Linked DNA regions of Arabidopsis thaliana. The protein of the gene in region 1 purifies or fractionates together with the protein of each later gene. This does not show direct contact. Each region holds a gene or a part of one and is shown in the gene's direction. Other genes may lie near its edges. The genes, in order: CHR23, AT3G01890, LFR and AT1G32730.

Region 1 (7,706 bases):
ACATTGGTTGATGTGGGTTTAAGCAAGGTATCGTTACTTCCTCTCAGCTTGTTATATCTCAGTTGGCCTCCATTTTACCTGTTTGTTTTACACATTTTTTGCATGAGATTGACCTTTATTCGATGCTCGTGATGCAGAGTGTTGTTGTTGATCAAGTGCTGGGTCCAGGAATTAGAGTCACGGTAGCCATGGGAACTGACCACGATTTAGGTACTGATAATCTCTATTTTCTTTCAAGTTACCATATGCATATCTGTTTTCTTTCTTTAAATTTCTATTTAGATCATTTATATACGTTTCTCTAAGCTACCTACATCTACTTGTTGAGTTAATATATTTTGAATTTGGTTCATGTAGATTTGGTACGCCAGATTGTTCCACCCTCTAAGCCAAGGGAAGAAGCAGGAATGTATTGGGGATACAAAGTACGATATGCATCACAATTAAGTTCAGTATTCAAGGAATGCCCTTTCGAGGTAATAATAATGATACTCGTCTCCACATCCTTCTACAACTTAGATCATATTTCCTGCATAACCTTATTTCCTAATACCAAAAGCAGGGTGGTTACGATTATTTGATTGGTACCTCGGAGCACGGCCTGGTAATTAGTTCATCTGAGCTGAAAATACCAACATTTAGGTGATTCTCATTTCCCCTTAACATGGTATAAGTTTGTGTCTAAACACATTATTAGCCGTTTAAATTTGGGGGACTGACTCCAATGGTTATGGCTTGAAATCATAGGCACCTATTGATTGCATTTGGTGGACTTGCTGGGCTTGAAGAAAGTATTGAAGATGATAATCAGTATAAGGTAACCTCATATTCAGCTCTTTGTCTCTCACAGTGACTAAAAAGTTCTTAAAGATCTAAAGCTGTTTTGGTCTATACTACATGTGTTTGATATGGACACTAAGCAAAAGACTTTGTTTTACAGGGGAAAAACGTTCGAGATGTGTTTAATGTATACTTGAATACTTGTCCACATCAAGGTAGCCGAACCATTCGAGCAGAGGTATTCACAAACTTTTCTTATTAGTTGTGTTTTTTCCTTTTCTTATGTTCCGGGATGATTGAGCTGAGGACATTGTGTAATAAATATGCAGGAAGCGATGTTTATATCACTTCAGTACTTCCAGGAACCCATCAGCAGGGCAGTGAGAAGACTTTAAGCTTCGATAAAAAGAGTCAAAGAAGCTATTTTGTTCTCATAGATCTGAGGTTTGTCTGAAAAAGAGTGATGTAATGTAACTGTTTTAGAATTTGGACCAAGTGTTTATTCTTGTACTATCCCAATTTTGGGTTCTTACAATTTTCCTCCATTAGTGGCAGTGTGGCACACGAAGTGTACTCAATTTTTACACTGAGTAACAAATTTAAGAGGGGTGTATTTAATCTAGTATTTTAAGTGATTTGTGTAAAGTTCACAAATTATGTGTTATTCAATCATGGATTTTTAAAATTCTAATGAAATCTAGTGGTATTGAGCTAATGATTTAAAAATCTACCTTTAAATCTACTGTTATTGAAAACAATTTGTGAATTTCATTCTTATTAATTTTGAGAGGATTTTAGAAAATTTCTTTAGATAAAAATACAGAAATTCAAATCTCATAGTTTTAGATAGAACTTTAAAAAAGTTTTACAATAAATCACATTAACTTTTCTAAAATCATTAAAATTATATAAAAAATCTTGTTAGATCCGATACACCCTCTAATAATAATATCATTGCCAAGTATTGAAACTTACGTTTGTTATATAATGGGTATGTAGTTTACTAACAATTACGTGAAGTGGGCCGTTAATTTACAATATATTTAAAATTAAGCATAAACGCCCGGCCCAAAATAGAGAAGGGTAATATAGTAAAAGCGGAAAGAAAGGGGTTAAGACCCTCCTTATCCCTAATAGACCGGTGCGCGTGAGCGACTAAATAATCGTTCGTGATATCGATTTCTCTCCCGTCTCGTTTATCTTTCGGGGCTAAAAACTCGAAAGCAACAGCGATAGAGAGATTTGGAGAAAACAAAAATAATAAAAACGGAACGGCAACAGAAAATTAAATAATCTAATTAGAAACTCCCGCCATGGTGAAGCAGCTACAAGAGCAGGAGGAGAACGATCCCGTCGAGAAGACAAAGTCTCTGATCTCTGCTCTTAACTACCTTTCTCGCGACCTTCTCTTGCCTTCTCACCTTTACGCTTCCGTTTCTTCTATTTACCATGCCTCCGTCTCCGATCTCTCTCCTTCTCCGCCTCTTCGTGTAAGCTGTTTCTTCGATTTGCATGTTAGGATTTGTGGTTGTGAATCGAATTTTCTGGCTCTGTGCTTCTTCAACTCCTTCTCTAACCAATTCCTTGGAGTTTCCTTCTCGAATTCGATGAATCCGAATTCATTGATTTTTGTGATTTTTGGATGAAGTTATATGCTTGGATTTTGCAGGGAAATAGTTATACTCCCAATAGAGGTGATTTGATGAGCGAGTTCGAAGATGCACTTTTGCAACAGCGACTAAACTATGAATCAGGCTCTCGACTAGCCGAGTTAAAGGAAACTCGGTATAAGAATCGTATCCACAACCGATTATCTCAACTTGAAGGTGATTGCTGTTTGACTATGCTGCTTGTAATTTTTTGAAAAAGCCTATGGAGCCAATTATCCTGTGAGATGAATGCTTACTCTTGTGTTTTTTTTTAAAAAAAATCAGGATTACCTTCCAATAGAGGTGAAGATTTGCAGGAAAAATGCTTACTTGAGCTTTATGGTCTTAAGGTATGTGTGACACTAGCTGATCTTTTTTATTGTCAGACATTGTTTAAAATATGATTTCCTTGACACTGACACTGTCTCGTTTGTTTATGGCAGTTACAAGAACTACAATGCAGGGTTCGGGGTGAGGTGAGTGCGGAATACTGGCTGCGTTTGAATTGTGCAGATCCGGAGAGACAACTATATGATTGGGGCATGATGCGGTTGCCTCGCCGAATGTATGGGGTTGGAGATTCTTTTGTTATGGAAGCTGATGATCAGTTCAGGAACAAGCGTGATGCCGAGGTCATTTGCTTTCTAATCCAACGCAAAATTGCTTGCTCCCAGATTTTATATTTTTACCTATAGTGATGAAGTCTTTCTTCGAATGGAAACTGATGGCGTTTTGAGATGATAGGAACATCTCATATATGCTGATACTATTTGATGATTTTTTAAACTCTTTGTTCAGAGGTTATTACGGTTAGAAGAAGAGGAGAAGAATCTGATTGAAACGACACAGAGGAAATTCTTTGCAGAAGTACTCAATGCTGTTCGTGAATTCCAGTTGCAAATTCAGGCGTCTCATAGACGGTGTAAGCAAAGAAATGATGGTGTCCAGGTATGATATCTCTGCCCTTATGTTTTTCATTGCTCATTTTTCTTGTCATTGAACCCATGATATAATTGAGTTATGTATATCCTTAAACGTCATAAATATACAAAGTCTTACAAACAGAAATTATTGCCATCTATCTAACAGGCCTGGCATGGAAAGCAAAGGCAACGTGCCACCCGAGCTGAAAAACTAAGGATCATGGCCCTTAAATCTGATGATCAAGAGGAATACATGAAACTAGCAAAGGAAAGTAAGAACGAAAAACTAACCCTTTTTCTAGAGGAGACAAACAAAATCTTTGTTAGTTTGGGGGCTGCAGTCCAGCGTCAGAAAGATGCCAAACTTTCAGAAAACACCAAATTACTGAAAGGCTCAGAATCTGACTTATCTGATGTTGATGCTCCTGAGGATGTGCTTCCTGCCCAAGATATTGAGATCATTGACTCTGACAATAATGATGATTCTAATGACTTACTAGAAGGCGAGAGGCAGTTTAACTTGGCTATCCATTCCATACAAGAGAAGGTAACTATGATTGTTTTACAAGTATTTAATATGAGTACTGTTAAGTTTGTTTAAGTCAGCTATCAATGCTTTTTTTAACAGGTGACAAAGCAGCCATCCCTTCTACAAGGTGGGGAACTAAGATCCTATCAATTAGAAGGACTTCAATGGATGGTCTCTCTATACAACAATGACTATAATGGCATTTTAGCTGATGAAATGGGTTTAGGAAAGACTATCCAAACGATTGCACTGATTGCGTATCTTCTTGAGAGTAAAGATCTTCATGGGCCTCATCTAATATTGGCTCCAAAAGCTGTGCTACCAAATTGGGAAAATGAGTTTGCATTATGGGCACCCAGGTATGTTCCAATTTATTCTCCATTAATTACATTGATATGGAGTGTATGAACGTTGCTTCATTTTTGTCCATTTGACAGCATTTCCGCTTTTCTTTACGATGGATCAAAGGAGAAAAGAACTGAAATAAGAGCAAGAATAGCAGGAGGAAAATTTAATGTGTTGATAACCCACTACGATCTTATCATGAGAGATAAAGCATTTTTGAAGAAAATTGACTGGAACTACATGATTGTTGATGAAGGACATCGTCTGAAGAACCATGAATGTGCTCTCGCAAAGACTCTAGGAACTGGGTATGTTTCTGTATGTTACTCTGGTCTTTGAGTAGACTGTATCTAGTTTCTTAAAGATGTTTAGACATGCCTTTTTACGCATTAGCTTGATGAAGTCTGAAGTGAATGGTGTTAATTAGTTGTTACTCTGATTTATCTCTTAAAGATACTGTCACAAAGGAAATTTAAAGACATTTTGCTTACACTAATTTGTCCTGGATGCAGCTACCGGATTAAGCGCAGACTTCTATTAACTGGAACTCCCATACAGAACAGTCTGCAAGAACTATGGTCGCTGCTTAATTTTCTTCTTCCTCACATCTTTAACTCAATTCATAATTTCGAAGAATGGTTTAATACTCCATTCGCAGAATGTGGTAGTGCCAGTCTTACAGATGAAGAGGAGCTGTTGATTATTAACCGTCTGCATCATGTGGGTTTATTATGCACCTTTTTTTGGTTTAGACCCTTTTTCTTTTATAGAAAATGCGTTATGCATGATACTTGATGTTAATGTCACTTTCAGGTCATAAGGCCGTTTCTACTGAGAAGGAAAAAAAGTGAGGTTGAGAAATTCCTTCCTGGAAAGACACAAGTCATACTGAAGTGTGATATGTCGGCTTGGCAAAAATTGTATTACAAACAAGTTACAGACGTAGGCAGGGTCGGTCTTCATTCTGGTTTGTAGCTAAACTTGAACTTCCATTCTCTCCAAAATGCTTTCATCTTTCGGTAAAGAACATAAGTCAGGAAGTTAAATTGCTAATGGAGTCCTTATGTGCAGGCAATGGGAAATCAAAGAGTCTGCAGAATCTGACAATGCAATTAAGAAAGTGTTGTAACCATCCGTACCTATTCGTTGGAGCAGATTATAACATGTGTAAGAAGCCTGAGATTGTGAGAGCTTCAGGAAAATTCGAGTTACTTGATCGCCTCCTTCCAAAACTGAAGAAAGCTGGACATAGAATTCTGCTCTTTTCTCAAATGACTCGTCTCATTGACCTTCTCGAAATTTACTTGTCACTCAATGACTACATGTACCTCAGACTTGACGGTAGCACAAAGACAGACCAAAGAGGGATTTTACTGAAGCAATTCAACGAACCGGACTCTCCCTACTTTATGTTTCTTCTGAGCACACGTGCTGGTGGTCTTGGTTTGAACTTACAAACTGCAGACACTATAATTATATTTGACAGTGATTGGAATCCACAAATGGACCAGCAAGCAGAGGATCGTGCTCATCGGATAGGGCAGAAAAAGGAAGTGAGAGTTTTTGTTTTGGTTAGCATTGGATCCATTGAAGAAGTAATATTGGAGCGTGCAAAGCAAAAGATGGGCATCGATGCGAAAGTCATACAAGCAGGGCTCTTCAACACAACTTCTACTGGTAAAAAGTCTTCATATATATATATTCTTATCAACTAAAAACATGATTTGGAGACTACATGCTAATCTCTTTGAATCATCAACAGCTCAAGACAGGAGAGAGATGCTGGAAGAGATCATGAGCAAAGGAACAAGCTCACTGGGAGAAGATGTGCCAAGTGAGAGAGAGATTAACCGGCTCGCAGCTCGAACTGAGGAAGAGTTTTGGATGTTTGAACAAATGGACGAGGAAAGACGTAAAAAGGAGAACTACAAGACACGTCTCATGGAAGAGAAGGAAGTTCCCGAGTGGGCTTACACTTCAGAGACTCAAGAAGACAAGACTAACGCGAAAAACCATTTTGGTAGCCTCACGGGTAAACGGAAACGAAAAGAAGCAGTGTATAGCGACTCTTTAAGCGATTTGCAGTGGATGAAAGCGATGGAGAGTGAAGACGAAGATGCTTCCAAAGTCTCTCAGAAACGAAAGAGAACGGACACAAAGACAAGAATGAGTAATGGGTCAAAGGCAGAGGCTGTGTTGAGTGAAAGCGATGAGGAAAAAGAAGAAGAAGAAGAAGAAAGGAAGGAGGAGAGTGGGAAAGAGAGTGAAGAAGAAAATGAGAAGCCATTACATAGTTGGAAAACTAATAAGAAGAAACGGTCAAGATACCCTGTTATGACTTCTTCACCTAATTCTAGAGGTAAAGGTAGCTCAAAAGGAAGTAAACGAAACTGAGAATAAGGTTTCTACAAGTATTAGGCATTTGAGTTGGTCTACAAGTATTAAGCATCGAGCCATTTTCTCATAAATTTGTCTGTTTTTTTTATAATTCAAACCTTGTGAAAAATATATCTTTTTAGAATTCAGAGCTTAAAAAGATGAGAGGGGGAAATTGGAAAAAAAATATAGATATCGACCGTTGAATTTAATAGGGTGGTTATTAGTTCCTATTTTACAAGGAATTTTGATGATTTTAATAAAATTATAGAAAGTAAACAAATGAAATATTTTAAACTATTGCTTGCTAGAGGTTTTTTTAAAATCTTTTAGATTGGTTTTTCATAATCTTGTAGTTTTCCAACCAATCTCTCTATTTTGATGATATTTTTCATGACTTTATTTTGTAAAGAAAAATGTAAAAAAAAAACTATAAACTAATAACATAATAATTTAATTCATTAACAATCATAGATTCTTTTGTTTTAATTGAATAACACAAAACTTTTATTGACTATATAAAGTAGGAATCCAACAATTCCAGATTTATGAAGATTTTATACTACTATTTACAAATTTTAAACTAATAACACCAAACTTTAACATATTTTTAAAAAATCTTGATTAAATAACAACAGATTCTACATAACATTTTAAGTCACTAAAATTCTATTTAAATCACAAATACATAACACCCCCTAAGTTTTGTTTTTGGTAATTTGGCCTGATTTCTCAAGAATCAAGTCATTTGTTTTTCTTTCAAGTTACAAATGGACATCAAATCTTTTCTACCATCATCACAGCAACCTTTGCAAGTTTAGTTTTACAATACTTGGATCAAATACCCTAATATACTAGTATTGGTGATTTTGCAAATAGAATGACTGTTTAGATTGCCCTCAACATATATAACAAGAATTGTTTTGATCAACATGAACATGAATCTGGAAAAAGATAACTGATCTATAATTACCGGTGAAACAAAAGGAAATTTGATCCATTAAATCGGGAAATAGCATTAGGTATCTAAATTTATAATACGTTGGCAAAATAGGATAAATAGATGAAAGAGTACTCCACCAAAAAGAATTATGCTCATAGGGA
Region 2 (4,883 bases), on another chromosome or scaffold:
TGAGGTTACTCAAATCTCTATCTCAAACTCAACATCACACAGAGTGTGGAGAACTTATGAAGGAGGGCCGGATAACATGGGAGTCAGCATCTTTGAACCAACTACTATTCCTCGTAATTTCTTCAAACTTGGCTTCTATGCACAACCTAACAACCGACAGCTTTTTGGTTGGATTCTTGTTGCAAAAGACGTATCGGGAAGTAATTTAAGACCACCAGTCGACTACACTGAAGTTGGAAACACTACAACATTGCTTATCAAACAAGAGGGGCCTGCATATTTTTGGCAGCCCCTATGTCCTAATGGATATCATGCGGTTGGTCTATATGTCACTACTTCTCCTATGAAGCCCTCTTTGGGACAAAATTCTATAAGCTGTGTTCGATCTGATCTCACAGAACAGAGTGAAGCCGATACATGGGTATGGAGGATAAAAGATATGACTATTTCTAGTTTGAGACCGGCCACGAGAGGAGTAGAGGCGACAGGTGTGTTCACAGGGACATTCAGCTGCAAACAACTAAACTTTCTTCCTCATCCCCCTCCTTTATTCTGCTTAAAAAATACAAAATTTGACTTGTCAAGCATGCCAAGCGAAAATCAAACTAGAGTTTTGTTTAAAACGTATTCTCCTTGGATATATTTACACCCAAAAGAAGATTTCCTTCCTTCCTCTGTCAATTGGGTTTTCGCTAACGGTGCCTTGCTACACAAGAAAGGAAACGAATCCATCCCGGTCCCGATACATCCAAATGGTTCAAACCTTCCACAAGGAGGTTGCAATGATGACTTGTTTTGGTTAGATTATCTAGTCGATAAAAAGGCTAGAGAAAAGGTTAAGAGGGGAGATTTAGAGAGCACTAAGGTGTATCTACACATCAAACCAATGTTTGGAGCTACTTTCACAGATATTGTAGTATGGCTATTCTTTCCCTATAACGGAAATGCACATTTAAAATTTTTGTTTATCAAGAGCCTGTCGCTAGGAAATATTGGCGAGCATGTTGGAGACTGGGAACACGTTACATTACGCATCAGCAACTTCAATGGTGAGTTATGGCGTGTTTACTTTTCTGAACACAGTGGAGGAACTTTAGTGGATGCATGCGATCTAGAGTTCATGCAAGGTGGAAACAAACCAGTAGTATATTCGTCTCTTCATGGGCATGCAATGTTCTCCAAACCTGGAGTCGTGTTGCAAGGTGGCGGCAAAAGTGGAATAAGGAACGACATGGCAAGAAGCGACAAATGCTTTGACGCAGGTATTGGATATGAAGTGATTGCGGGACCTGGCGTGGTTGAGCCACCGTGGCTGAATTATTTTAGGAAATGGGGACCTCGAGTCCATTACAGGATTGACATATTTCTCAACTCTGTCGCAAAGATTTTGCCCATCTTTTTACGGAAAGGTTTGCGAAAACTCATCAACAAAATTCCTTTAGAAATGCGGGGTCAAGATGGTCCAACTGGTCCCAAAGTTAAGGTGACTTGGACCGGTGATGAACAATATTCTTAGTGTTTTATTGTGAATTATTGCATTATGTTATATATCAATAAGGTTTACATTTGTCGAAAATAATCATTGTAATTTCTAATTAGTAACAATAATACTATAGAATCTGTTAAGAATTAAGATGTAGATGTGCTAATTAAAAATTTTAGAGTTATTTGGGAAAAAAAAAGGTTGTCATGATCTTAGTTTTAGAGTTAAAAAATAGTATTTATCTGGAAATAAATTGGTGTAGATTATTAAGAGTTTTTTTAAAAATAATTTGGATTAGATTTAATTTGATTTTTTACCTATAGTCATGGAATTAGATTTATTGCCGAGAAGCAATATTGATCCATCTAAATATGGACCCACGAACCATGGCCGTTGGGCCTTTAACTAATGGTTGGGTTTTGACCCGGTTGAAGAATTCAGGTGGGCATTGATAGGTCCGCCGTGTCTTTTTTTTTTTTTTTTTTTCGAAGAAGAATCATCTTCATCTTCTTCTTCCAGAGGGAATTGAATTTGTTTTCTTTCTCCTGGAGTTGAGATTATACGCTTTCTGCTGTATTGAAGAAGAAGAAGTTGTGTCCTATATCTTACTATTTAGATTTGGGGGGAAATTGATTAGGGCTCTATCCTCGCGCAGCACTAAATTAGGGTTACGTTCGGCTTAGAAAGGGCAAAATTCGATAGAGTGTGTGTGTTGTGATTTTGATGAGGTTCTTCTAGCCAAAATTACTGAGTAACTACTGTCGACACCAATTTGGGATTGTATTCAATTTTTTGTGATCAGCAATGTCTGGGAATAACGAGTTGAACGCACTAAAAGGGCCTCAAAGCTCTCTGCCTTGGCCATTTGGAATGGCCTCTGCATCGTTTGCTCCCTCCCACATGGCCCCTCCTAACTTTCAACCTCAGTTTCAGCTCTCTCAAGACCAAGGGATTAGTGCTCCTGGAAGAAGGTTCCCACATAAACCTCCCATTGGAGGACCTCCTGCTGTTCCTCCTAGTATGGAGTTGACTCCAGCTTCCAGGAAAAAGAAACATAAGCTTCCAGACAAGTCCTCCTTGCAGGAGCGCGTTGCTGCCGTCTTGCCCGAGTCTGCTCTCTACACACAGCTTCTTGAGTTTGAGTCTCGGGTTGATGCCGCTCTCTTCAGAAAGAAAGTTGACATCCAAGACTCCCTTAAGAACCCTCCTTCCATTCAGAAGACCCTTAGGATCTACGTTTTCAACACCTTTTCCAACCAGATCCCTGGTCCTGACCCTCCCACATGGACTCTTAGGATTTTCGGCAGGGTCCTGGATCCTGACCACACTGGTGGATTAGTTCAGAATTCAAACCCACTTTATCCCAAGTTCTCGTCTTTCTTCAAAACGTTAAAGATATCCCTGGACCAGAGCCTGTATCCTGAGAACCATCTGATCGAATGGAAAAGGGATCGATCGCCTGCTCCTCTGGAAGGGTTTGAGATAAAGAGGATAGGGTGTCAGGAGTTTGCAGCTACTATACTGTTGGAGATGAATTACGTCCCTGAGAAGTTCAAGACTTCTCCTGCTTTGATGCAAGTTTTGGGCATTGAGGTTGACACTCGCCCAAGAATCATTGCGGCAATCTGGCATTACGTGAAAGTCAGGAAACTGCAAAACCCAAACGACCCTTCTTTCTTCAACTGTGATGCTGCTCTCCACAGTGTTTTTGGGGAAGAGAAGATGAAATTCACTATGCTCTCTCATAAGATATCTCAGCACCTATCACCTCCGCCTCCCATTCAGCTTGTACACAAGATCAAGCTTTCGGGGAACAATCCAGCCATCTCAGCATGTTACGATGTGCTTGTGGACATACCAGCACCGGTCCAAACGGAGCTTTCCAATCTGCTCGCTAATCCAGAGAAGAACAAAGAGATTGAGGCATGTGATGAAGCCATATGCGGAGCCATAAGGAAAATCCACGAGCACAGAAGGAGACGGGCGTTTTTCTTAGGGTTTAGCCAGTCACCGGTGGAATTCACCAATGCCTTGATGGAATCTCAGACCAAAGATCTGAAGCTTGTTGCAGGAGAAGCAAGTCGAAACGCTGAGAAAGAAGGCCGATCAGAGTTCTTCAATCAGCCATGGTAATAATCTCTACTGTTCTGCTTTTCATCACTTGTCTTACAATCACTGAGAATTCTCTTGCAGGGTGGAGGATGCTGCAATACGTTACTTGAACCGGAAGCCAGCAGGCGGGTAAGATGCAGATGGGCCAAGAAGTTCATGAGTTCACTACTTTTACCTAGAAGTCACTTAGGTCCAGGACACTTGATCAGTGTCGTTCCTTATAGGTTTTTTTTCTAAGTGAAACATTGTTACTCAAGTTTCAAGAGTTTTTACTTTGGTTTGTAGCTCGTGCATCATATGCGACAAAATATAAGAAAGATAAATACTTGACTTTTTCACTTTCTTTTGTAGATTCCACGTACTGACTTCCAATTGGCTCGATCTAGTCTTGTAGAATAATAATAACGTACGTATTATTATGGATAGAAAAAGACCAAGGCATTGTGCTCTCACGTTGAACTTTTAATATAGTCATCATCCCAAGATGATAACAAATGCAAAATGGGTCATTTTCAAACAAAAATATAATAACTGAGCTAATATTGGTTGAATTTTCTTCAAAACTCAAAAATTTAGTAGAGACTTTATGACTTGGATTGAAAAAAAAAAAAAAAAAGTTGAGTTGTTTACCCAAAGGAGAAAATAATTTTGGGTATGAATGATCATAGAGACGTTTTACATAAAATAAAAAGCCATGATAATTGACTTTGTTTGTATATTCAAGGGGAAAGAGAAGGATCTCTCCGATGAACGCGGACTTGCATCCCACCAGCCATGTGAGCCGTGAGCATTGGCACAAAATCCGGTTTATCCGTAGGGATCGGTTCAATCTCAAACCGGTCAAGTATGGAAGCCACAATATACTTCATCTGCACGTACGCCATCTCTTCCCCAAGACAAACCCTTGGGCCGGCTTGGAAAACCGGAAACTTGAACGGATTCACCTTTTTCAAAACTCTGCAGCAGGTTTTATCATAAGACTCAGCCCACCGGTTTGGTTTAAACTCATCCCAATCTTCCCCCCATAGCTCTTCCATTCTCCCCATACCATATGGAAAATACGTTACCCGGTCTCCGGCACGCACCAACGTACCGTCTGGTAACCGGTCATCGGTTAAGGCGTGTTTGGAGTCCCACGGCACCGGAGGATACAATCGCATCACTTCACACAAACACGCTTTCAACAAACTCAGTTTCTTCAATGATTCGTAATCAAAACCCCCCGTTATCTCCTCCTTGACCGATCGGATTTCACTAACCAGATCGTGCTCGGTTTCCTCGTGACCGG
Region 3 (5,391 bases), on another chromosome or scaffold:
GGATCTGCTCGGTTTAGAAGTCTTAGACCTTTCATCAGAGCACTCATATCTGCAGGATCCGATGGTTCAATCGCAACTCTAAGAGTGGGAGACACCTGAAACTCCATGCTGGCTAAGGGCCAACAGTTTCTAGTAGATGAGAGTGTTGCGCTTTTTGATATATATGGTCCAAGCCCTCTTATGGCCACTACATTTCCGGCTTTCACCTCTGTTACTGGTGTTAAACCTTGCCCCATCATAAGATATAGGGAATGCAGTTCTGCTTCCTGAATGTACTTGTGAGACGATTCCCCCTTGAGGGGATCATATAGGGCGGTAATTACAAAGACTCTTTGCCCAGCCCGAAGTACCCCGCTAAAGATCCTAGCAAATGCAAGGAAGCACTCATCTGACTCGCTTTTACTGTCATCATCATTTAAACCGTTCATCCTCTCTCTGTGATTTCCATCTTGAGGAATCATTTTCATTGGAATAGCAAACATTTTCGACACAAACACAACACAAGGACTGTCACTGCTAGAATCACAAGCCTCGATTGATTTTCTAACAAGCTCTGCTTCTGCCAGGACACTTGAATCAACATCATCACCACCAATAATTTTCCTTTCTGGAACCAAGCGTGGGATTCTATATGCCTGTGCTGCAATGGGGTCTGGCAGATGTTTCACAGCCATAGACAAGACTGCATCAGACAGAGGAAGCCAACGGCTCATCACCGATTGAAGCACGTTTTTTGGATCCTTGTTCTGAAGTTCGCGTGGTGGAATAGACAAATTGAAAGATTTGATAACTTTCTCAAGAACGGCTTTATCCCCACCAGGATCTAGTGCAGCTTCATAAACCTGCCACAAAGGCTCAAGCACAAACTGCACAAACATTGGTTTCGCCTTGCTTCCAGCACTTAAATTCTTCTTCCCTACTATCATCTTAGTCTTAGGAATATAATAACGAGGACCCCATAACGATTTCTGCAACGCAGTCGCACTAGCTCCAAGCTTGGAGGCATAAAAATTAGCAAACTCCGCAATCCCAAAACCCCACCCGTCTAAAGCACACACGAATACTACATTACCTTTCTGAGGCTGAAAAGTAACTTCTTCATCATCCTCCAACAACTCAAGACTCTCAGCAGACAACTCCCCTGAAGGACTAGCAAGTATAGAATCAACATCCGACAAATACTTCTCTGACTTATACGCACTCACAATCCCGTTAACCTCATGAACAATCCTAATCAAACGAGTATACGCCTCCATAGGACTCAACCTCAACTCAAAAATCAACCTATCAATCTTATTAAGCACCAAACAAGGAGTCAACTTCTCTATCCAAGCTTGACGCAACACAGCATGCGTTTGAATATGAACTCCCTCAACAGCATCAACCAAAACCAACGCACCGTCACTTAACCGAGCAGCTGTTGAGACTTCACTACAGAAATCCATATGACCAGGAGAATCAATCAGGTTCAAAGAATAGTCTTTATATTTAAGAGAAATCGAAGAGCTCTTCATCGTGATTGCACGTCTCTGTTCTTCATCTAGATAGTCCATGAACCTAAGCTTCCCGGCAAGTCTCGGGTGAAGAACACCGCCACCGGAAGAAGCAATTAGGTGATCGGCGAGAGTCGTCTTACCGTGGTCTACATGTGCTAGTATACATATGTTCCTAACTTTCCTACCTTCAGATTCATCCATCTCTTCAATTTACAAAACACACAGCTACCTGCAGATTCAATATATACAAGGATTACATTATCAGAATCGATGCGATTCAAATTAGTAGAGAAAACTTCAACAAAACATAATCCAAATCCTAAAACCTTGTGTGAGAGCTCACGAATTTTTGAATCGAATCCACAGAGTTGTGCACGTCTCGTAAGAATCAAAGAGAGATAAAAACGAGAGAGATGCTCTTTGAAGATTCCATAATATTTTAAAAAGTTCGATTCAAAAATTGAGTGATATGTAAAAAAATCACCTTAATCAGTTGATGGAGCTCAGACGTTTGAAGAAGAATGGTGCGAAACTTGCTTCGGCGGCGAAACAACGGCGGCGCAGGGTTTGGCGATTTCCCTCTGCAAGTTTGTCTGTATAAACATATACAAGAAGACGTGAACGTTTTTGATTTTAATTAAACCGGAACCCTGTAAACCAGAGAGACGGTTTAGTGCTCTCTTTTAACAATTTTAATTATAGTCTCGGACTCTTCAACCGGAATAAACCGGTCTAAAACGTTTTTAATTTCAATTGTACCGAAACCCTCTGACTCACAAAAAGTGTTTAGTGCTCTTTAAACAATTTTAATTTTTAAATCGTCTTGGGACTTTTAAACCGGAATAAATCTTTCGGGTCAAAATTTCCGAACCCTAACTTTAGCCCCAAATTAGAGAGAGATGCAGAAACGGGAGCTTGGGAAATCCGGCGGTAATTCCGGTGGATCTTCGGGTCCACCAGCGAAGAGAGGCCGTCCCTTCGGTAGTACAAGTGCTAACTCAGCTGCTGCTGCTGCAGCGGCGGCAGCAGCGGACGCGATGTCACCGTCAGCTTTACTTGGTCCTTCTCTTCTAGTTCACAATTCCTTCGTCGGTAAGCTCGCAATGACCACTCTATAATTCCTCTCTGTTTTCTTCTTGTGAACGAGTTTTTAATCGGTAATTTTCATTGGGATCATTGGAATTTATAGAGCAGAACAATAGAAGAATAGTTCTTGCGTTGCAGAGTGGTTTGAAGAGTGAGGTGACATGGGCATTGAACACACTTACGTTGCTTTCCTTCAAGGAAAAAGAAGATATTCGAAGAGATGTCATGCCTCTTGCTAAGATAGCTGGCTTGCTTGATGCCCTTCTCTTAATTGTGAGTTTATTTAATTGTTTAGGTGTTGGGATTGTGTTTTCCTCTCTGTTCTTTGAACCAACATGATGCTAAAACTTTGGCAGATAGATGATTGGCGTGACATAGCTCTCCCAAAGGACCTGACAAGAGGAACTAGAGTTAGAACTTTAGGTACAAATGCTTCAGTTACGGGATTTGGCAATGAGTATGATGCTCTAGCCTCTATTCAACCCCCTGGGTGAGCTAATTTCGATACTGCTTTGATTACAGTTTTAAATGATTGTTGCTTATATTTAGAATTAGAACCTAAGTGTTGTTAATATTTGGCCTAGCAGATCCGGGATTGGTTCTTCTGCTGCTGAGGCATTAGGAAAAAAGAGCACTGGTAAACATCAGTCATCTCAGTGGTGGATGGAAGAGGATGGTTTGTTTAATCTAGACGATGAAGGGAGATCAGAGAAACAAATGTGTGCTATTGCTGCATCGAACGTTATCCGCAACTTCTCCTTCATGCCTGATAATGAAGTTGTAATGGCTCAGCATCGCCATTGCTTAGAAACTGTTTTCCAGTGCATACACGATCATATGACCGGTAAGGAAGAATACTAATGTTTTGATACATACAATCCCAACCTTTTTGTTTCTTTTACTAGTTATAATTCCTTACATTTGCTTCTGATAGATTCTTATTTCTTATTGGTTTGAATTGGCTTGAATGTATTCTCTCTGTTTCCTTATTTGCTTGATACTTGATTGGGAACTATGGTCTTAAGACAATCTTTTGTTAACAGAGGATGAAGAGCTGGTCACAAACTCGCTAGAGACAATTGTAAACCTAGCGCATTTGATGGATCTTCGAATTTTCAGCTCGCTTAAGCAGTCATACATCAACATAAAGTGAGAAGTTGTATCTCCCTGCATTCTTAGTTACACAATCCATAACTTGTTTCAAATACCAATGTGAATCATTCATTACTCTTGTGCATATAGTGAAAAGAAAGCTGTTCAAGCTGTGGTCGGAATCCTCAATTCTTCTGTCAAAGCTTGGAATTGTGCTGCTGCTGAGTTGCTAGGGCGTTTGATAATCAATCCGGACAATGAACCTTTCATTAGTCCTTTAATTCCGCAGGTTTGTTAACTTCTATAATCTTCATATGGTTTCTGGCTACTTACTCGTTTTAACTAGTATTTAAACCCAACAATGGACCTATCCCTTGCAGATACACAAGCGACTAATCGATCTTTTGAGCATACAAGCCGTTGATGCACAAGCTGCAGCTGTTGGAGCACTCTACAATCTCGTGGAAGTTAACATGGATTGCAGATTAAAGCTAGCAAGTGAGAGATGGTAAACAAAAACTATACTCCCTCTCTATCGAATACAATCAAACTGTTTTTAGATCGCAACAATGACACACCATTATGATCTTTTTCAGGGCGGTTGATAGGTTGCTGAAAGTGATAAAGACTCCGCATCCGGTTCCAGAAGTATGTAGGAAAGCTGCAATGATCCTTGAGAACCTTGTCTCGGAGCCTCAAAACAGAGGATTGCTACTCGCGTATGAGAATGCTTTCGCTGAGCTGCTTTTTCAAGAGGGTAAGTATTCTGATTCATTTGCTAGGATTTTGTATGAACTCACTGCTAGATCTAATAGCAGAGTTGCTTCAGCTAGAGGAATCTGGGGCATGTAAAAGTCTTCTCTAGATTAGTGGGTTTGATTAATTGATTGTGTTGTAAACTTTAATCATTTGCTATGTATTAAAAAAGCAGTGTTGTTGAACAAAAAGTAGATGGATTCTTCTCTCGCATAGCTTCGACATGTGTTTTGTTTGATCTTTACTAAAAACAAATTTGAGATATTTTGTGATTCAAATTGAAAATAAAATAACCCAAATAATCACGTTTTGACGTTAGAATAGTGTATTGGTTAATCATATTCATATACTATACAATAAACTAACAAGAATTAAGTCACACATAATACAGTGTTTTGTCTTTACATTTTTTGTTATTATTACTCTTTCTTCAAAATCAATGTGTCTTTTCTTGTAGACGAGGAGACGTTTTCTCTTGTTATACATTTTTATTTGGATTCGGTTCGTATAGTAGAACATAATTATATTTTGAACAACCATAACCATTAACCACCTAATTAACCCATAAATTGTGACCAACAACTTTCTACAACGCGAACTAGAGCATTTCTACAAACGTTAATTGCGTATTCCACATATATTTTGCTAAACTTGAATTTCGTGAAGATTTTAGTAACCTTCTTCTTTGGTATATTATGGAGTTGAAAGAATATATAACCGTTGCTTTAAACACACATACCTGTATTTCGAGACAACTCATCTCAAAACTAAACTCTAAAATCAAGTTATTGCAATCTTTCTTTCTTTATGTTCATACAAGATAGTGGTTAACTGATTCACACACTAAACATTTGGTAGAAAAATATCAGAACAATAAGAAGAATATATTTGGAAAATGGTTTGATTGGTGATATAAAATTAGTTAGTGGTTAAAGATGAATGTATAGATAGAAGTGATAAG
Region 4 (5,243 bases), on another chromosome or scaffold:
CTAACATGTGGTATCAGAGCTTCTATATATATAGAAGCTTTAATACCCAATGTTAGGTCTAGATTGAAGCTACAAAGTACAAGTTCATTGGCAGAATTATTCATTGTGGCTATTAATCAATTTTAACATTTTTATATACACATCACTCTTGCCAACTAGATCCACAAAAGATCCTACAAAAAAGGAATTCAAATATATTTTGGAAAATCAAGTCCTTACTTGATAAGGACGATTCTTGCTCCTTTAATTTGTTAACAAGAAAAAGAAAAAATATCTCATATCTCGGATTAATACCTCACAAACCGACCGATTTATGTATTTCTGATTTGGTTTAAGTTCAGGTTCAATTTATAGAGAAGTTGGATTAAAAAATAACCAAGGCCTATGTATTAATGTTTTTTTTTGCAAGATTATGCGCTAGGTTGCATGGAAACTCGCTCCGAGGTGCGTTTCTCGTTTCCGAAACGTTTCGGAAACGGAAACTCTCCGGAAATACGAAAAACGTCACGGAAACGCGTTTCCTAAAAATCTAGGTTTAGAAACACGATGGAAACTTACGTTTCCAAAATAGAAACTCACGTTTCCGAAATAGACATACGACAAATCTTTTTTATTGACTTTAAAAATTTAATAACTAAAATTGAAAATATTAAAATTATTATTACATATAAATAATTTTGGAAGACTTTGAGTTTTAAGATCTTTCTTTTGTTAAACCAGATTTGAAAAGAGCTTTATATTATCTTTGATAAAACTAATGAAAATGTTGGTCTAAATTAACTATTTGAACTTGAACCTTTTAATTTTTATCTTTTAGAATTTTAGTTTATTTATTTAATATTGATATTTTGGACTTGTATTGTTTAAATCATTTTTTCTTTAATATAGTTTTATGTTAATGTTATATATATATATATAATGTTATATATATGTATAAATGTGTATACGTTTCCAAAACGTTTCCAATCCCTAATTTTAAGAAAAAATCGTTTCCCGTTTCCGAAACGTTTCGTATCCGCATTTCCGTTTCCGTTTTCATGCAACATAGATTATGCGAATGATTGCAATTTACAAGTAACAACTTGAGAGATGTACGTTCACTATGTCGCGAAGAATTGGTGAGGAAATCTTTCGTAATATTTTGTTATCCAATGGTATTTATCTCGATTGTAATCGTTAAATCATGAATGGATGGTTAAATATTTACCAAATAAATAAAAAGAAGAAGAATAATTAAAATTTATATATTGGTGAGCAAATATTATTATTCCGATTAAATTATACTTTTTAATTGTTGTTTTGTAAAATTGTTCAGTTCTGTTTTGTTTTGTAGTCTCTATTATCATCAGAGTTGTTTAGTTTGATCGTCGTGTGGACTCTTGACAGTCCTCATAGTCTACTAAATCTAAAACCAATGATAAATCAACTAATTAATTAAATAATCATGTCTATAAAGTATAAACTATATTTTTATGTGTTAACCCATCCAAATCTGCAAGTCCATACAAATTGACTCTAAATATATTGAAGCTGCAAAATCAGCCAAGTACAAAATTGACTCTAAGTATATTGAAGCTGCAAAATCAGCCAAGGTTACGCAATATAATCATATAGCGATCGATGCATCAGAATAATAAGTTAGAAAGCGATATCAATTGCAAAATAGTATAGAGTAGTATAAAAATATGAAAACACTCTGAAGTTGAATGCACCAAAATCTAAATGCATTGTTTTGTCTGCCAAATTGACTTCTATCTAGAAGCTTCTAGTGTGAAGCTCTGATACCACTTGTAACGTCCAAATCAAAGCTTCGAGTTACAAGTCAATTAGTAGAATGATTTATTGTTTTTGTTTCTTTTACTTATGAAAAGACTCTAAAGCAAAGCGAAGGAAGAGATGAGGAAGAAAAAGATTTGCCCAAACGGCAAACACTAAATTATTTAGATTGATGTTCTATTGTTCATATGAACAATAACGTCTATATATATGTGAATCTGATTCGATAGAATAACCTAATTACTTGGGCTTTTTTTGGGCTTATATTGATTTATCTGACAAGTCTGATCCCGGATAAAGTTCATGATTTGGTTAAGTTCGGTTCAATTTAAAGAGAAATTATATTGGGCTTTAAAACCCAGGCCCATATAAAAACGACTCACGTGGTATTATTAATAACCGGAGCCCTAGACCCGCCGTGAAATCGAGCGATTGAGAGCACTTCGCAAAATCAGAGCGACAAAAAAAAATAAAAACCAATCCTTTCGATTCCAAATTTTTTGTTACTCACTCGCACGAGTTTTATTTGGTCGTTAGTTATCTCTTTCGTTGAATAACGGTTTTAATTTAAACCGTTACTTTTTATCAATGGCGACTTCGTCACCGTCTCTGAGTAACAATGGTCTTTCCTCCGTCGTCACGCCTCCCAAAACTCTCCGTGGTCTCAATAAGCCTAAGTGTATTCAATGCGGCAATGTAGCTCGCTCCAGGTATTGCTTCTACGCATTGTTTCATCGAAGGACTTAGGTTTTTTACATCTGGGGTTTCGATTTATGGATTGTTCTTGGGTTTTTGATCTGAAAGGATTCGAATTTGTCTTGTATAGTACTTTTTCGTTTTGATTTAGGGTTCATAGGTTTGTGGGTTTGGGTTTTTATTCATGATTTGGTGATTAATCTGTTGGAGATTGTTTAAAGTTTTGAGCTTTAGTATCGAAAGATCAGTTTTTTGAGATTATTGGTGAAGTAATTGTAATTGTATTGCTTGGATTTGATAAATGCAGGTGCCCTTTTCAATCTTGTAAGGGTTGTTGTTCAAGAGCAGAGAATCCCTGCCCGATTCACGGTATGTTTGCCCTGTCAAATCTCAACTTCATAATTAGCTAAAGTGATCAGTTTTAGAGTTTAGTGTTGATAACTTTGATTGGAGAGTTCTATTCTTTCACTTGGTAAGTTTAGAGTTTAGTATTCTTGACTTCTATAGGGTTCGTTTGGTTGTCTCGGGACAAAAAAACCTATAAAGAACCATAAGACTGATTCTTGGAATGTGCTTGTGATTAGCTGAGAGATATAGAGATGTTATCATGGACTGTTTTGTGTTTCTTCTTATGTGTTTTATTTCGCTGCAGTTCTTAAAGTAGCTTCAACGTCTGGTGAGAAGACGCAGGCGCCAAGTACTCCATCTTCAGAGCAGAAAGCAACCGAGGGCACTCCCGGGTACATATATATAAACTAATTTTCTGTTTTGTTTGTGCTTCCATGGGCAAGTGAATCTTAGATGATAAACCGGTGTTTGCTTACTAATACTTTGATAGGAGATTCTTCAGCTTTCTTGTTTTATTGCACGTAGTTGATAGTGAGATGATATATTGGTCTTGTGGAACTAAAATATGGCGCTTTATGTTGACGTTTTCTTCTTTTGGAAATTGTTTCAGGAGTACCACTAGAGTTTCGTCAATCCGGCAACTTTCTAGCAACTTTGCTCAGTTTAATAACCTGAATGCTTCTTCCCGCCAGAGAAAACCTTTGACGATAAAGGTATACTAATTAAGACGTCTTTCATTGACTTTAGTACTCTATGAAAAATCTCCATTTAGTTGTTTTCCTCTTATCAGTTTTTGTTCTGTCTATATTCTATAGGATGCTCAAGCTTTAAACGAGTGGCGGTTTACAAAGCTAAAAGAGTACAGAGACAGAAACATTGAAGTAGAAAATGAAGCTTTTGATCGGTACATGAGTAATGTGAATTTACTCGAAGAAGCATTTTCATTTACATCTGTTCCTGATGAAGAGAGTCATGGAACAGCAGCTCCTGAGCAAAACAAAGAGGAAAATATTGTTTCAGAGCTTAAACTGAGGCTGAGATCGAACTCTGCAAGAACAGAGAGCTTTAAGAAGCGGATCGCGGAGACAGTCAAAGCCGGTTTGGTGAAGCTTAAGAGACTGGATTTAGGCAGTTCTTCAGATGATCAAGATGATATCAAAAGGCGGGTCAAAAGAAAGAAATGGGAAGAGAAAGGTTCAGCTTTGAATGAAATAATCGATAAACTGAACAAAGCAAGAACCGAAGAGGATCTCAAATCTTGCTTAGAGATGAAATCAAAGCTCTGTGGTCAAGTTTCTCCCACTGCTGCTTCCGAGAAGAACAAGATCTTTCCGGGTGTAGTCCGAAAAGTTGAGATGAGTGAAGAAGCACTTCAAAAAATCGCTGAGAATCTCCAATCTTTTGACAAAGTTGGAATGTTGTGAAGTCGAGAACATCCTGTGGATGAACTGAAAAGTTTGAGTGGCAAGAAAATTTCTAGATCCTTCGTGACCACGGTATTGTACAATGATCAAACATCCCTCAAAACTGATCCTGAAGACTCCAAAGACTCAAGAGATTCTTGTAAAGTAGTGTTGAGCATCATTTAGATATTAGAACTCAGCCATGGATAAAGCTGTTGATTCTATCTCATTGGATTTTTTTCACTGTGTGTTGTTGCTTTGTTAGATTTGAAATTGCTCATTGGATTACCTTTGACTTAATAAATAGTTGGTTTGGTTTGGTATTGGATAACCGCTCAGTCTAATTAGACCGGTTTGTTTTTTTGGAAAAAAATGAATCCATCCATCCATAGGCCACTTTCAACACGTATATTTGAAAACGACTAAAACCAAACTCTTAGATTCTAGTTTTGTTTTGCTGCCCCAATTCCACTATTGATCAAAACATATCCAAAAGTTTTTGTGGAACTAAAAAGTAAAAATAACGTTTAGTTTGTTTCCAATTTCAACCATATATATCTTATTCATATATGCATGTTGTGGTTGTCTCGTGTGTGTAGTATTCATTTACATTATGCAAACCAACTGGAAACATGTTGAATGGGTTATGGGTTGGTGGTTGGGACTTGAGGATCAAACAACTCAAATGAGCTCATTATAAGTTAAGCTCTCAATAATCATTAATTTATTTTTGTTACCACCTAATATTTCTACGAAGGGTTGGTGTAACAATTTTTAATTGTAAGATAATTGTGTAATCATTTTCAATATTAATTTTTATTATGTATTTATTTTAAAAAGTTATATAATACGTAACACATTTAGTACTTGGTTTTGGTAGCTTCATCAATGTACCATCCGAAGTTCCAAAAAATAAAAAAAAATGTCGATTTCACCGTTGGTGAAAAAGAAACTAAATTGATATGTATTATTCATTTTTTAGAAGAGATTATGGGTTTAAATCTGAAACTTCTTAGTTAA

What was found.
Region 2: the proteins of CHR23 (region 1) and AT3G01890 fractionate together in Arabidopsis thaliana (co-fractionation; one large-scale study listed by BioGRID). This does not show direct contact.
Region 3: the proteins of CHR23 (region 1) and LFR fractionate together in Arabidopsis thaliana (co-fractionation; one large-scale study listed by BioGRID). This does not show direct contact.
Region 4: the proteins of CHR23 (region 1) and AT1G32730 fractionate together in Arabidopsis thaliana (co-fractionation; one large-scale study listed by BioGRID). This does not show direct contact.

The regions. Positions count from the first base shown.
Region 1 is NC_003076.8:6,496,813-6,504,518, forward strand, and holds CHR23 (homeotic protein regulator), read left to right. Parts: upstream 1-1,930; 5' UTR 1,931-2,093; coding exon 2,094-2,270; intron 2,271-2,449; coding exon 2,450-2,606; intron 2,607-2,714; coding exon 2,715-2,779; intron 2,780-2,872; coding exon 2,873-3,061; intron 3,062-3,203; exon of another isoform or gene 3,204-3,227; coding exon 3,228-3,377; intron 3,378-3,518; coding exon 3,519-3,899; intron 3,900-3,980; coding exon 3,981-4,240; intron 4,241-4,318; coding exon 4,319-4,534; intron 4,535-4,738; coding exon 4,739-4,946; intron 4,947-5,039; coding exon 5,040-5,193; intron 5,194-5,297; coding exon 5,298-5,903; intron 5,904-5,988; coding exon 5,989-6,620; 3' UTR 6,621-6,880; downstream 6,881-7,706. Other genes in the region: AT5G19300 (methyltransferase C9orf114 protein), read left to right, coding at 1-27, 138-210, 358-476, 563-642, 748-817, 941-1,018, 1,110-1,175. UniProt on the Arabidopsis thaliana protein: Probable chromatin-remodeling factor that is functionally redundant with CHR12 in root and shoot stem cell initiation and root apical meristem (RAM) and shoot apical meristem (SAM) maintenance. Can associate with the promoter region of WOX5.
Region 2 is NC_003074.8:308,045-312,927, forward strand, and holds AT3G01890 (SWIB/MDM2 domain superfamily protein), read left to right. Parts: upstream 1-1,962; 5' UTR 1,963-2,287; coding exon 2,288-3,612; intron 3,613-3,676; coding exon 3,677-3,728; 3' UTR 3,729-4,029; downstream 4,030-4,883. Other genes in the region: AT3G01880 (vacuolar sorting-associated protein (DUF946)), read left to right, coding at 1-1,516; CYP94B2 (cytochrome P450, family 94, subfamily B, polypeptide 2), read right to left, coding at 4,315-4,883.
Region 3 is NC_003074.8:8,161,620-8,167,010, forward strand, and holds LFR (ARM repeat superfamily protein), read left to right. Parts: upstream 1-2,321; 5' UTR 2,322-2,395; coding exon 2,396-2,588; intron 2,589-2,685; coding exon 2,686-2,855; intron 2,856-2,938; coding exon 2,939-3,072; intron 3,073-3,169; coding exon 3,170-3,426; intron 3,427-3,625; coding exon 3,626-3,731; intron 3,732-3,824; coding exon 3,825-3,963; intron 3,964-4,054; coding exon 4,055-4,182; intron 4,183-4,270; coding exon 4,271-4,526; 3' UTR 4,527-4,731; downstream 4,732-5,391. Other genes in the region: AT3G22980 (Ribosomal protein S5/Elongation factor G/III/V family protein), read right to left, coding at 1-1,697. UniProt on the Arabidopsis thaliana protein: Involved in leaf and flower development. Plays roles in leaf development partly by associating with AS2 and repressing KNAT1/BP transcription. Required for the formation of anther cell layers and normal expression of genes that regulates anther development.
Region 4 is NC_003070.9:11,838,713-11,843,955, forward strand, and holds AT1G32730 (electron carrier/iron ion-binding protein), read left to right. Parts: upstream 1-2,197; 5' UTR 2,198-2,364; coding exon 2,365-2,486; intron 2,487-2,779; coding exon 2,780-2,841; intron 2,842-3,124; coding exon 3,125-3,212; intron 3,213-3,430; coding exon 3,431-3,533; intron 3,534-3,635; coding exon 3,636-4,244; 3' UTR 4,245-4,596; downstream 4,597-5,243.